Linked DNA regions of Drosophila melanogaster. The protein of the gene in region 1 interacts with the protein of each later gene in a biochemical or structural test. Each region holds a gene or a part of one and is shown in the gene's direction. Other genes may lie near its edges. The genes, in order: beat-Ia and side.

The links.
Region 2: the proteins of beat-Ia (region 1) and side form a complex in vitro, tested with the Drosophila melanogaster proteins (one study listed by BioGRID).

What each region holds. Positions count from the first base shown.
Region 1 is NT_033779.5:16,046,979-16,054,547, forward strand, and holds the start of beat-Ia (beaten path Ia), read left to right. Parts: upstream 1-2,986; 5' UTR 2,987-3,732; intron 3,733-7,569. Other genes in the region: BicC (bicaudal C), read left to right, coding at 1-751, 980-1,227.
Region 2 is NT_033777.3:27,433,504-27,441,044, reverse strand, and holds the start of side (sidestep), read left to right. Parts: upstream 1-3,562; 5' UTR 3,563-4,122; exon of another isoform or gene 4,123-4,855; intron 4,856-7,541. Other genes in the region: CG43447 (uncharacterized protein), read right to left, coding at 441-638; CG44290 (uncharacterized protein), read left to right, coding at 140-189, 1,924-2,083.

The sequences.
Region 1 (7,569 bases):
GGAGCGGTGGCGCCGCCTCTCAAACCGCCGACTGTTTCGCCACGGAACAGCTGCAGTCAGAATACCAGTGGTTACCAGAGCTTTAGCAGCAGCACCACCTCCCTGGAGCAGTCGTATCCGCCGTATGCCCAATTGCCGGGCACCGTGTCGTCCACTTCATCCTCCACCGCGGGAAGCCAAAATCGGGCGCATTATTCGCCAGATTCCACTTACGGCAGTGAGGGTGGTGGCGTTGGCGGCGGAGGTGGTGGTGGGGCGCGTCTGGGACGACGCCTTAGCGATGGAGTGCTGCTGGGGCTGAGTAATTCCAACGGTGGAGGAGGTAACTCCGGAGGAGCCCACCTCCTGCCCGGCAGTGCCGAGAGCTATCGGAGTTTGCACTATGACCTTGGAGGAAACAAGCACTCCGGCCACCGTGCCTTTGACTTCGACATGAAACGGGCCCTGGGCTACAAAGCCATGGAGCGCACCCCGGTGGCAGGGGAGCTGCGAACACCCACGACCGCTTGGATGGGAATGGGCTTGAGCAGCACCTCGCCCGCCCCTGCCCCGCTGGAGAACGGGGAAAATGGGGCTGCTGGTGGAGGAGCATCTAGTGGGTGGCGGCTGCCACCAGGACTGGGTTCCCCTTACGGACTGAGTGCCACCACCGGACTCCTGGACGCCACTCCAGTCAACCGACGGATGCAGCTAGCCAAGCACAAGGACATCCAGACTCTGCTCACCAGTTTGGGTCTGGAGCACTACATCAGTGAGTAGCTCCGCCGATCATGTCCGTTTTTACCAACTGTGTACTAGAAGTCTTTTATAAAGCTATCATATATGTCTGGCTTGAACTGGAGAGTGTTTTATTTAACGCAAACGTTTTTTCACAGTCATAGATAAAGTTACATAAAGTTCAACATCCATATAGCATTTAAAATCAAACTATTTTATATTTACAACCTGGGAAAACTACAGTTTTTATTTCTCCTTTCAGAAATATTCGTTCTAAACGAAATCGACCTGGAGGTGTTCACCACCCTGACCGAGGAAAACCTGATGGAGCTGGGTATCGCGGCGTTTGGAGCTCGCAAGAAGCTGCTGACGGCCATTCACACGCTGCTGGCCAACGAGGCGGCCTGCAGCACAATGCCCAGCAGCAGCTCCTCGCAGAACTCCTCGTCGCCGCGATTCTCCGGAAGTGCGGCCCCAGGCGCAGAGCGCCGTCCCTCCAACCAGTGGTGATCCGCTCCTGTCGTTCGACCCCATTGCCTCGAATTCTTTTTTTCTTTTTTTTTTTGCATGCCCATTTATTTGGTAGTCGTAAGATCAAGAGAATCGGAACGGTAAAAAGTATAGGAAGAAGTCAGGAAGAAAATGGCAACTCCCTGGGCGAATAGCTTTCCCGCACAACACAGCCTTGACCTTGACTTATACTCGCATTTGTACTCAAATTCCAAGTAGCATAGCTGCGCTCGGGAAAGTGCACAGTTTTCCCAGTGTGCCAATAGGTCGTAGTTGCCTTTATTTTAAGCGATTAATTTATTTTGAAATTATTTATATAGGAAACCGTCTTAAGCAAAAAAAAAAAATATTGTGAATTATTTATGAAATCTAACTAAACGAAATCACTTGTTGTAAGAAATGAATTTATGTAAACTAACTGAAAAAGAAAAAAAAATTAAAAACAAAAGCACAGCATGTATTAAGTGATAAGCAAAATAGTCACGCACAAACATTTGATATGAATAAATTGATGTCTATGAAAAATCAACTAAATATATTTTTTAGTAGATTATTAGATTAATATGATTTGCTTAATTTTGTAGAAACATTTGTAATATATGTACATTAAGTCGTTGCCGCTTTGAACTCTTTTAGCCTGGTTGGAATAGAGGTTAATGACTTTATTGTCTCCAGTTGTCTGCATAATTTGTATTGCCTCGCCTCGTGCCAAGAAGTCTTGCAAAGCAACAAAATCGAATGTGTGTCCTTACACGAACTAAACGGGCGGCAAAAGGGGCGTGGCTGAGCTAATGAACTGGAAATGTTTTGCTCCAGTTGCCGGTGGTTGCTACCGTGTTGCATCAGCATAATTGCAAATTTTTATGATTATGACACTTTGGGCGCAAAGTGCCTTTGCCAATGGCAACTAATTTCTGCAGCCATCTCAGTCCCAGTCTGGTGGTCATCTACATGGGGCTATGCTCCACTTAAGTACTTCGAGTGGGCTTTTGCGGGACATTTTGGCAAGCGGCTTGATTTACAATTATGCTGGATTTGAATTTGGATCCCAAGTGGAGTCACTGACCAGCCCGAGAGTCGCCAGTTTCGGCCTCCATTCGTCAATGCTGGTCCCATTTTAAGTAGAGGAAGTGTTGTGTAATGGGAGGACATAGTTAAGTGGCCATAAGTATAATTTGAGTATGTGTTTCCTCGGCCTTTCAAAAACAGTAGGAAAATATATATATTTTTATAAATTTCTTTCGAAAGAAGTTGAAAATTGAATTAACCACGTTAAATTTACTTTCCATATACTTTTTCCGTACACTCAGACAGGAAGAAGTATTTCTAAAATATATGCTTATTTAAGCATACTTACCTTCCGAAGTCTTGTAATTAAACTCTAACATGTATTTAAAAAATTTAAAGTAAATTTAAAATTTAAAAATTTATTAAATTTAAAAATAATGTTACAATTGGTTTTTTTATATTGTACACAGTAAGTTGCCGTTTAAAGTGGCAGTCGTGGTGAGTACAATCAAGCAGTCAAAACGAAGCAGTTCTCTTAGGCAAAGCAGTGGGAAGGGGAAATCAAGCAGTGGAAGGGGAACCAAGCAGAGTTAGCAATAGAAGCATTTATGGATAAGAAACCCACCACACGGGTGCTCTCTCTCTCTCTCTCCTCGCTTTTCCATTCGTGATTTTCCGATGAAGGACGTCGGATTCTCCGAACCATCTTCGTTGGCCATTCGCCAATTGGGAAATCTGTGCACAGGACTCGCAGTGTCGCGAATCCTTCGACTCCTGCTGCAGTTTACATTGCGTTGTCCGTGCGTAAGGACGTGCGTAGATCATCATTTCAATTTTCGCAGTATTACGAGCATCGGAAATAACAGAAAAAATTGTTTAAAAAAAAATGGTTGAACTGCACTGAAACCGCAGGACTGAACCCAATTTTTGCTGTGGCGTGCGTGTGTGCGAGATGCAGTTTTTGTGTTTCTGACATAGCATTTACCAAAACAGAAGGCGGAAAATAGGGAAAAGGATCCGACGAAGGATCTGCGATAGTCCCAAACTGTGTGTGTGTGGGTAAGGCTGTTGCTTCGTCGCCACCAGTGCATGTGTGTGTGTGAGTGCGAGTGTGTTTGTGCAGTCACGTGTTCTAAGGTGATTTTAACGAGCTCCGTGATACGCGAAATGAGATAAGGAACGAGGAAGCAGCAGAATCGGGAGGAGTGAACGGCTTAGGCGGGCACAAAAAGGAGCAACAAGAAGCCACGCAGCCAAAGCCAACAACCAAATCCCCATTCGCCAGGACAGGATACTTGCTCGGTGCGCCTTAAAGGATTCTCTGATAAATCAACCGAAAATTGCATAAAATAAAATTGTTTGCCAAATTGTGCGCAGCGAGAGAACCAAAAAGCAAAAAAAACAAAACCTTATACTCACATGTGAAATATGACTAGCCAGTTGCATTGAAAGTACAAGAAAATAATAAGAGAGAAAATTTACCCAAATAACCTGAAGGTAGGAATACATTATAATCTCTTTGACACAAATTGATGCTTTGGGATATGATGTCAGGAAGGGTATTGGGATATGATTACGAATATTTAGACTCGTATACTAGAAACGCACAAGAGCGTATGTTATTTAAAAGAAAAACAGTTTTTTAACATTTGAAATTTGAAAAACTAATATTTTAATTTTGCTTCACAACAGAGTTGTAGAAAAATAGTTGATAAAGTTTATAATTGAGAATATTATTTGCAAGGGAATGCAAATAACGTTTGAGTAACAGCTCATAAGCCAGTTCAGCGAAAGCATCAACCTTTCACGAACTTTGAAGCATCCTCTGCGCTTCTGTAATTTCATATATCGCAATCTGCGACGTTTAATTTTGATGCACCATGTCCCTGCTCCTGGCAAGGCAATTTGAGGATTCCGGGGGTTTCCTTTCACATCCCAGCCAGCGGAAGATAAGCCGGAAGATGTACAGAAGGGCGTGCCCGTCTCATCCAACAGGCAAACAAAACTTGTCAATTGCCAGGGAGCGTGTCTCCGGGACCTCGGGCTCATCCTTTTTTGGTAAACATTTCCCATAGTTGCTGGGGAACTAGGCAACAATGTCTTGAGCTCAGTCCTAGCTGCTTCGATTTGCCCATTTTTTGTTGATGGAAAATGTCAACTGCCTGGCAGAGTTTTCATCCTCACTTTCGAGCAACCCACTGACTAGGCAAAAATTGTATTTAGTGGGACAATCAATATCGGATGAGGGAGGGGCAGTCAGTTGGGCGGCAGTCAAACATTTATTTGATTGACTGATTGATATGTGAAATGATTTATTGCCGCCGGAGGAGGAGGAGGAGGAGGAGGAGGAAGAGGAAAAGGCGAAGGCGAAGGACGAAGAAAAGTGCTGGCAAGTGTCCACAAACAGCTGAGTCGGAAAAGTTCCGAAACAAAACGAGAAAACCTTTAACCAGCCGAGCAGGAACATTTATTTCCCAGTCTATCTCTGCAGTTTTCCATATCCTGCTCTGTTTTTGCAGTGGAATTTCCACAGCTCTGTAAAAATGGCTCGGACCAAACTTTTTCGCACGCTTTATGGGAGAATAAAGTAAATAATGAAAGCTATTTAGCACAGCCAAGGGGCACATTAAGTCGTCGCCAGCCTTTTCGGATTATCCTGCGACCGGCTTAAAAATAACAATAGGACCAAGCAAACAGATGCACACTGTAAAAAAATAAACTCCGGCAGGATTTTTGAGTTAAAAATAAATAAATCTGTTAAAAGGAGTTATTACACATTTTGACTAACTCTCCTAAAAGTAAAGTGCTTATTTAATGAGAAGGAATATAAAAGGCGTATAAACTTTATGTCATACTTTTCCAGAAATCTACGAAACTTTTGTCATAAGTCATTATTAAAGGGAAATATAAAAATTTTCCGAATTATTTTACTAGCTTATTTTCATCTAGTTTGTCACCCATTACCAAAGTTACAGTATAATGAGCTCCCTTTTGGATTCGTATTATTTTACATGCATAAGCTTAAAAATTTGGCTAACCCAGAGATTATGAATTCCAACCAAAATCAAATCCTTTGAAATAGCACAATGTGTTCACCGAACTTCCTGGCGCTTAGTTCAAATTTTGAATATTGTCATAGATTTTATTCAAATAAAACGGACAGCATAATATTGGCATTGATAAATGGTGTGACAGCTCTTCGTATTATATTTTGGCCGTGTAATATCCGTCGAGAGAGGTAAACTGTGGCCGGCGTTTAATGAGCTGTGTCCTGATCTGAGCCTCGGATGACCGGCGGCTCCTTTCGCCAGTTCGCTGTTGAGCTGGAGAAATTTCAGCCATTTTTTACTGCCACCTGCAACGGTGTCGCATTCTTCTCTCGACCAGGTATTTCTCTTATAGCCTGGATCTTTTATTTTCGTTCTTTTTTAACTATTTGGTGGCGCTGCAAGTGCTGTGGCTTATGAAAAAGAACGCTGAGCGGAGGCACTCCGAAATTCGGGCGAAAATGCGAAAAAGAGGAACCTAACTAGGCGTGGGTGTTAATTAGTTTTTCGGCAAGTGCCCCGAAATTCTGTTTTCTTATTAGTTTTCACTTATTTGTTTAAGCTGATTATGTGCGTGTATACTCAACCAATGAGTTGTGCTAATCCTAAAGGAATTTGCTCGCAAATTTATGGCTTCGTTATCCCACTTGAGCTTTGATCTACAAAAGCTGGTTAAATGGCCAAGGATTTATTCAATTAGTATTGGCATAACTGAATTAGTCTTGGTTTCTGCCTTGCATTTAATATTTATTGCATAAATAGATGTTTATCCAATCATGCCCCGATTTTATTTATTAGTTTTCTGTTAACAAATAGATGAGAATTTAAAATGGAATAATAAATCCAACTACTTACCTTATCCTGTGTAAATATGAATTTTGATTTATAGACAAAAATTGTATATCATAATTTATATAATTTCGATAAAAAAGCTTTACTTTGTTTAAGTGGATCATGGTATATTATGTATTTATATTTATAATTTGAGATAGAGGACAAAAATCAAAGAGCTATTTTTTTTATGTGCCAATTTCTTGGAATCGAACTTTAAAGCGACTTGAGATTTCCGTCAAATTTTAAAAGCAGACAGACTTCTCGCGAAAAACTTTTGCACCACTCCTAGTTTTAATTCTTATCTCTTGTGATATATGAATGGATAGAACTTTACAAATTTTTTACTGTCGGGAGGAAAAAATTTTTTTCCGCCGCATCACAAATCTTGCACCGACTCAAACTTCGCCCCAACAAGTACGAAAACATGGGCAAACACAAGACCTTGGGGCTATTGAAAAATATCTCATATGCAAATCCATTGTTGTTATTGGCATAGTCACTAGTTCTCCAATTTCAAGGATCTCGAGTGGCTCCCTCGACTGCGGCAGTGTGTGTGTAATCTAGGGCCCCTTTTTCTACTTTTTGGTGCTAAAGGCGCATCTCAAGTGCAACATTTGCCAGGGGTAGGAGAAGTATCTGTACCTAGCATATTTGTTGTTCCTTTGCGGCTGCGAAAATGTTGTGGCATGTGGAAATTTATTTCATAATCTCTGCAACAAAAATCCAAAACGGCACAAAAAAAAAAGAAATGGGGAAAAACTTTTGCATATGAGCGGGCGCATCGGGATAGGGAAACTACGAGTAGCTAAGCATGTAATTTATATCCTTGAATGGTCCCTCCTTTTCCCCCTCTACAAACTCACTTCAGTTTTGGGGCTTCTCCTGGGTTTTTGGTATCTGCATCATGCAGTTATTGCCGATGCCCAGGAGCGTGGGCAGGAAAATTATGAAGGAGAATATCGGGGGCACCTACCACGCCGCTTATGTTTTTATATAACTTATGGAGCATGAACTTCTTTTAGTTATAATGTTAATCAGCATATTCTTATACAAAATACAGTTATATAATACATGGAATTTAAAAAAAGGATATAAATTCTGTAGCAAAATATCGGGGATTCGCAATTGTTTAGCAACTGCGCCTCTGCCCATATTGCAAAATATTCCTCTTTCTGTGGCGGAAGTTTTGCTAGTTTTCTGGTATTGGACTGAGCGGTCATAAATTTGTTTCTGCTCCTGTTGTGGTGTCTGTCTTTTCTGCTCCTGCATTGCTTCACTTCGGTGCAATTTTATTTGACCACATAAATTGTTTACCAATTTTCACAAGTTCTGTGCAACTCCATCGCCATCTGTGTGTGTGTGTGTGTGCCTTGCCTTATGCCTTTGAAGGCTTAAAGCGGTTTAATCGGTCCCTTCCACTCAGCAAACCCATTTTGATTTAGCTTGCATTGGC
Region 2 (7,541 bases), on another chromosome or scaffold:
AACAAAGCAAACGAGTGCCAGCAATTTCCACTCACTTTCTATCTATCATTCGGGGGAGATTTGGATCTTGAGCCGACTTTCCCTCATACTTGTAGTTCGCAGCCGCAATCCCCTTGGTGGTTCAGTGTAATTTAGATTTATGCGCCCCGCGGATGTCTTCACCCCTCTCGTGCACAGTGAGAAAAGAGGGTGAGTTCTAGTGGCCATAGTTCAACAATAATAAATAGCTTGATATTTATTTAGTAAATGAACAGATGATAGTTATGACCATAAGTTAGTCATAATCAAATTGTTACCTATATACCTATACTGAGTTCCTTCAATATTCCCATCGATAGATAGCGTACCCCCTTTTTCTTCGAGTGCAGCTTATCCGGGAATCTCGCATCGGAGTCCATCTATGGAGAGTCAAGCCGCATTTCGCGTTGATTATGCTTGATTTATATGACAGGCCAGCCTTCGAGCAAAAGACCTTGCCATGAGGGTTGTCGCCGGGAGAGATGTTGCCCCGGGAGATGTGTTAATCCATCGCAGCTAGAACTAGGACTCCGTGGGCTTCCCATATCGCTCGGTGACTTTTGACTTTGGTTCCGTTTTAATTGAGCGCCAAAGCACGGCTGTCCGGGGCACGCCCCCATAAATCAAGCGGCCAGTCGGCCTGTCGGCCTGTGAGTTATTCACTCAGCCACAATGTCCAGCTGTCAATCATTCAAGCAGCTTGCTGCGTAAAAAAGGAAACGACAATTTAACGGCAGTCAAGTGGCGCACATCAAACATACCCTGGAAATAGCGGGGTCTCGGTCCGATTAGGGGGCCATCCTTTTAAGGGAAACTTCATTAGACCAGAAAACTCTGGCTGCCCCAGGGCCAAAACGGCAGGCACTTTTAATGAGTGCCTCGAACAGATTCAACCCATGGAGGCCATGGAAATGGCAGTGGGGAAGGGAAAAGGCACGTGACATGACAGTGGGAGATTTTCTTTATTTCCAGCTTCAAGCTACGAGCCTGCTGGTGATGATTTTTCGGCTTGTGAGACATGGGAAGTTGTTGAAATCTTGTGATGCATTAAAATTTGCAAGTTTTGACTTTGTTTGTGTGTGTGGGAGAGTCCTGTGTCTGAGTGCGTGTGAGTGACAGTTGTGTGTCAGTGGCACGCTTTTCCAGCTTTCGGGACACATACACATACACACACACACAGTGGCATTTTATGCAAATGTCGCTTTTCTGCGTAGCTGCCTCGCTTTTTAATGAGCACACACACAACCCGACAAAAGGATGGCACACAACCGCATTAGTTGATTGTGTGTGTGTCTTATCCTCTTTCTCTCCTTTTGAGTGCGCGTGTGTGTGTGTGCCGAGTCCTGCGACTGTGAAGCAATTAAAATGAAATAAGCTAGGTTTTTTCACTCGGCAAACAAATTTCCACTGCAAGACAAATGCACAAATGTCATAGCCACACCGAAAAGAAATATCTGAAATGATGATTAATTTACAGCAAATTTAATTTGGGGAAAGTTTTGGAAAGCTTCTAATTGAAAAATATAAATAATATGTGTCATTTTCTAAATGGAATTAAAATTTTTGGGGTGAAAACGTATTGCATTTCAGTTACATGTATATTTTGTATGAAAATTGAAACTAAAAGTGAGTTAGTGGAGCATTTGGGGTGCGAGCACGTGCCAATTAGCCATCGTGACCCAATGAAACTTCCTTTATGGGGTTCCTTCGGTTAAAAGCCAGCCCATTAGTCACTCAATCAGCTGGCATCAAGTATTGCTTTAAAAGCATTTGCAATGCTCCCATGCCACTTGCCTGCATTGCATTTGTTATGCCCTTGTTATCCTTGATCCTATTTGCGCTTTTCTTTTCTTTTCTTTTCCTATGCCATTTTCTTTCTATTTTCTAACATTTCTGCTTCTGCAGTGGCCATACAATACGAGTGCGTCATGTGCATAGGTGTGAAGGTTGCCGCGGGCGAGCAGCTGAAGCTGCAACATCAACGTTGCTGCATAAAAGGCTAATGCCCCGGGAAAAGTGGAGGCCGAGCTGCCATCGAAGTGCCCTGGGTGGCTTGGTGGCTTAGAGGTGCAACAGCTTGGCAGGTGCAACTGCATTACCATGCGACAATCTGTTCCCATTTCCCAACAGTGGCGAATATTTTTATGGCCAGCCGGAAGCTGAGTTCACTGAGTTCACAAGTTTTGGAAAAAAGTTGTATTTAAAATAAGCTAGTTGAATTTATTTTATTATAGTTTTCAGTTTCATTTATAATTAAAAAAGAAAGCAAGAACATAACAAGAGAAAGGATGTATATTAATTGAATTTGAAATTTAACTTCTAAAAATATGAACCAATTATATTCAATAAACTTTTCTTCTTTATGTGGCAATTTGAAAACATATTCGTGTTTCCTTAGCAAATGTTGCTTTCATCATTGTCCCTCAACACTTAACGAACGCAACAATGCTGCGAGAGAGCGGAATAATGGAATTGTTCTGAAACATTCCTATGTGTTGTAGCAACATGTTGCATGTGCCTAAGGGCAATTGAGTTAAAAGGGGAAATAAGTTCATTTTACCATGGAAAGCTGTAATTGTTCTTATTTTCAATCAACGTATTATTAACCCTAAGTAAATATATTGATTTGCTTATTTGCATACCAGAGTACTTAAGAATTTATTTATTTAATTTATTATTTATATTAATTCATTTAATCGATTTTACAACTCCTAGAATTGAAACAGGATGCCATGCATGCATACATTTCTTAAGCGTCTAAAGCGTGTCACACGCCCAATTAAAATTAACCAATAATGGCTAAGTGCATCATTACCCACAGCTTACGACAGATCAAAGCCCGAACAAAATTGAGCAATTCAAGCAGCAAAACCACCGGGCGATAGTAAATGCTCAAAGGCCATTGATAATCCTTCGCCAGGACGACAACAAAAGCTTGTTCATGCCCCTAACCGGGGGATAACTCAATTATGTGGTAAGTTATGGACACGATTCGAACGACGGCGGAGTGGAGGGTGGCCAGAGTTGACCTAGGCTGACCCCCAAGGAGGGATAAAGCCTTTTGGGCACTTTGCTGTCAAATTAGTGCCTAGTTCGGTCCGCATAATTGGCCCAGCCGAAAGTTTTTACACGCAGCCATAAAAGATTTATGGAAATTATGCATGTGTTTTTTGTTTATCCTGTCTGGGCAAAGAGGGGGGGGGACTTATGAGCGGTGCCAATAAATCACATGGCGAGTGGCCCATTAATTGGCTGCAAGCGCGCCCGAGAGCCAAAACAACACTCGACCAGTTGCCAAAGGTCACGTCCTGGCCGCATGTTGCACGAGGACTCGCACGAGCAACATGCGGCACGAGAGAGCGCGGCAGGACTCGTGATCCGAAGCTCGTCGCCGTCCGAAGTGAAAAATCGTGAATGATATGCGGCATGTGTTGCTACCCCGTAGCAGCAGCAGCGAGCAGCAACGAGCGGCAGCAACAACATGCAGCAGCAGCAGCAGCAGCAGCCGAGCAGCGGCAGCTGCGAATGTTGTTTAGTTCTTATCCGTGGCTCACAGCGTTTGGTTCGTCGTGCGGGTGCTGCTCTATATATCGATAGCGTGTTTGGCTACATATATCTGTGCCATTGCTGGCGCTTGCCACTATTGCCACCACTACTCAGCAGGGATTGCGATTCTCTAGACAGTGTGTTTTGAATTCTTTTGGCCCTGGCCAACTTGCAATTTATGTGGCTAATTAGAGGAATAGGAGGCGGCGGCGGACCATTTGTGCGTGACTCTCGAGCGCCGTAAGTGCTGCGCATCGTTTACGTTTCGTGTGCCGCGCCCCTACCGCCCACCAGAAACAACAACGACAACAACGAAAAAAAAAGAAGAAACGAATTAACACAACGTGCCGGAAAAATAATAATACACTCAAGTTATCAAAACACTTGAAGAGAACTGGAAAAAGCGAAGTTCGAAATAACTGCAGTGCAAAAAAAAAAGCGAAAGGAAATCGAAATTTAGGGCAAAAGCGGATTACGAGCAGCAATAACAGCCGAAAGCGGAAAATGCGAATGAAAATGAAACTCCAAGTGCGGGCAAACAAACAGCAAGACTGAAAAGTGAGTTGCGGAAAATTCGTAAAAGTGCGTAGTAGAGCAGATAGAAGGACCCCCGAAGTAAATCATTAAATCATATGGAAATGTGAACGCGTCACTCTGCCTCATTAACGATTTCCCATTTTCGATTTTCCATTTCCCAATCAACCAACAATACCAATACCGCACTCCAGCTGCGTGCGGATCATCAATTAATTCCAGTCAGTTTTCGCACTTTAAGCGCCAAAAAAAGCAGCAATAAAAAGGAGTATTCCCACACAAAGAGAGCGCACAAATTAATGACACAATAACACACTGCGGTTTCATTTGTAGTGGTCAGTATATATATGAGTATATCAGTGTGTGTGTGTGTGAGAGTGGGCGCAACAGTTCGTCGGCCGTACAGCCTGCCCCCTTCGGTTTTGATTATGATTCCCATCTGATATGAAACGATCCAATCCGATCGGTCGCGTGGCATATAATTTATCACAATTGCCATCGTCTGGCGGGGCAAAGTGAAAGTGCATCGGAGCATCCGCAAGATACAAAGATAGTAGATACAAGATACAAATTGCTTATGCAGACATCTTTGCAAATACGGGTCAGTGCATTGGAACAATAGCTGCGAGCAGCAAAAGTTTTGCTCTCTATCTGTTGGCCAAGCAAAAACATAAATTAAACTTGCCAGTTGGAAGGCCTTGAAAGTTCCTCTGTCCTTTGGATTAGCTAGCCAGGGAAAGCCAAAGAGCAGCCGGGGGTAAGTTGGTCCTTCTGATTTGTAGCCATAAGTCCGTGCTCCGGAAGCTGCGCCTTCAATTCGCAATGCCATTCCATTGCATCCCATCCCATCCAGATCCCAGCCAGCTAGCCAGGATCCACAGACAGCCGGGGTTTGCTTATGGGACAGATTTGTTTGCCTTTCAAATTTTCATCTTTGAGTGGAATGCTGTTGTGATGGTCACTTGAGAGCTGAGATTTATGTCGTTGCTATAGGAAAGGAAAACAAATTAGGCCAAGAAAGTCATTAGTTTGGTAGAATTTTTCTTGCTGCTTGTGAATTATATTTTTAGACTATAACATATATTTAGCCAGTTCTTTATTATTACCCAATTAAATTTGGCTTGTTGAATTCACTTCGCTCTTTCCTGACAGTACCGAATCAGATTTCAACTACGGTTTCTTGATAAATCCATTACTAAAAACGTTAAATCTACTTCCTGCTCCCCACTCACTCCACTCGTCATTTTTTTAGCGGCATATTTTTTGCGAGCTGAGCAACCTTGGCAACAATCCAGTGAAATCCTTGCATGAATTTCGCTAAGCGCCTCTTGCCGCCTTGCATCCAACATGGGAGTTTTCCATGTGCGTGGCCCCATTCTTGGATTCCTGGCTACTGCCCCATATGGTGGCACACATAAAAAGCAAATCACAAAATCCACTGCGCAGCTCCGTTTCCAACCAGTGGCAAAATATAAGAGGGAATAATAAGCTCTCATATAAACGCTACAGCCGCAGGATATTTGCAAAGCCAACAGCCCTCCTACCAGGATCCCGATCCTGATCCTGAGCCAGTGTCGGCACGTATATACGCCATATGCCATATATGTATATGCTAGCCTGTCCAGAGAGTTCGGCTTCATTAAAGCAAATAGAAGCCCAGAGCATATACATATGTATGTACATATATGGTATAAAGCGAACTCAAAATCACCCACACAAAGTTGAAAATACGAACAAAGCGAAACAAAACCAAGCGAAGCGGAGCGTGGCAAAAATTGCGAACAGAAAGTTTTGGGGCAGCAGCATGAGAAGGAATTAAATTTAGGTAAATGCATTGAAGGAATTCAATTTTAAACAAAATGCTGCTAGCGTCACACAAGCGTCAGTTCCGCATGAAATGTGTACTATGTGCAAATATGTGAGCGGGAAAAGGGAAATGGTGGGAGTGGGAAAAGCGTTGGCATCGCTGCTGCAGAACGGCTGCCAAACAATAAAACTTTCAATACATATTTTATTTGACTTTATGCTGCAATTTTATGCATAATAAATCCTGCAGCCCGAACAATTGCTTCACACCTCGAGGGCTTCGTCAAAATGGATAAATATTATGGATAAATACAATCAGGATGGCAACCGAAAGTAGAAAACATTCAGCGAGCGACTTGTGCATAATGAAGAGACTCCTGCATGCAGGATAAGCGAATGGCAACGCTTTTGGCGATAACCATTTTGGAAATTCCATTTAGCCCGCAATAAAATAAATCCAGTTTGAGCCGAGTTCGCCAGCTGACACCGCTCGGGATCACGACGCATGGCGTTCGGGGCATTTGGGAAATAGATGAAAATGAATCCTGGCACATTTTCCAATTAACGAAATTTACAAAATGCCAACGCGCCTCGGCTAAGCCGTGCAATTAAAAAGCTGGAGCACGTAGAGTGCAACGTGGGCGGCTAAGCTGAGTGGGAAAATTGAGCGAGTGGTGGGTGGCTGGTTGTGCGAGTCGGTTTTCCAGGTGCAGCGGAAAATGTCGTCGCTCACCACCCGCCCCTCTCCCTTTCGCCAACCGCACGTAGTATGCAAATTATTGCAAATTATCGGCGTAAATTGCATTTGCCTTTAATGAGTAGAGAGTGTCTGGAGCTGCAGAGCTTCGCCTTCGCAGCTCCGACTTAGAGTTCAATTATGCTTCCGCATCTTGGTTTTCGCCACTGTTTGCATTTCATTTCACAGCGAATCGCCCCCACGTGCTGATTTATGTATTTTGCCCCGACTTTGCATATTTACATTGTATCTATTTCCACGAGCCGTATCTGCCGGATGATGGGTAGGCTTCGATTTTATTTGCGTGTTGTCACGTCGCAGCTTTCGAGCAATCGTCGCCCTTGCGGCCGGCGAATGTGGAAAATCCCCTCCACGGATATTTGTAATTCTAATGCCGCCAAAGTGCTCGTCGTGATTTGCATACGCATCGATATCAATGGTCCTGGGCTTTTCGTGGGCTCCAGCTCCAGACTTTCGTTGACCTTACACGTCTCAATTGCAGTTGGATCTGGCATTCCTTGACCCCGCTTCCAAAACTCAAGTGTCTGGATGGCGATGGACTTGTTCTAGGCTCGGGCACCTCTTATCCCATAATGCTAATTGCCTTTGCTCGGCTAATTGCCGGCAATTCTGGTCTGCTTTCGATCTCAATGCGCCGTTGTCCGCGGCTGTGCCATAATTTATCAATTTGCTCGGGCTGCCTTTGTAAACGAGACAAATGAGGCGAGCCGGGAAAAACGAGCTTATCTCATGTCAAACACACTTAAGCAGAGGAAAAGCCCTCCCCCCCCCCCCCGGTGGGAAAATCTCGTGTAGGTTGCTTGTAAATTTTTATTGGCCCTTAATGCAATAGAAACTATGGAGCCAACATGAACATTACCAATTGAATTGGAAATGGGCA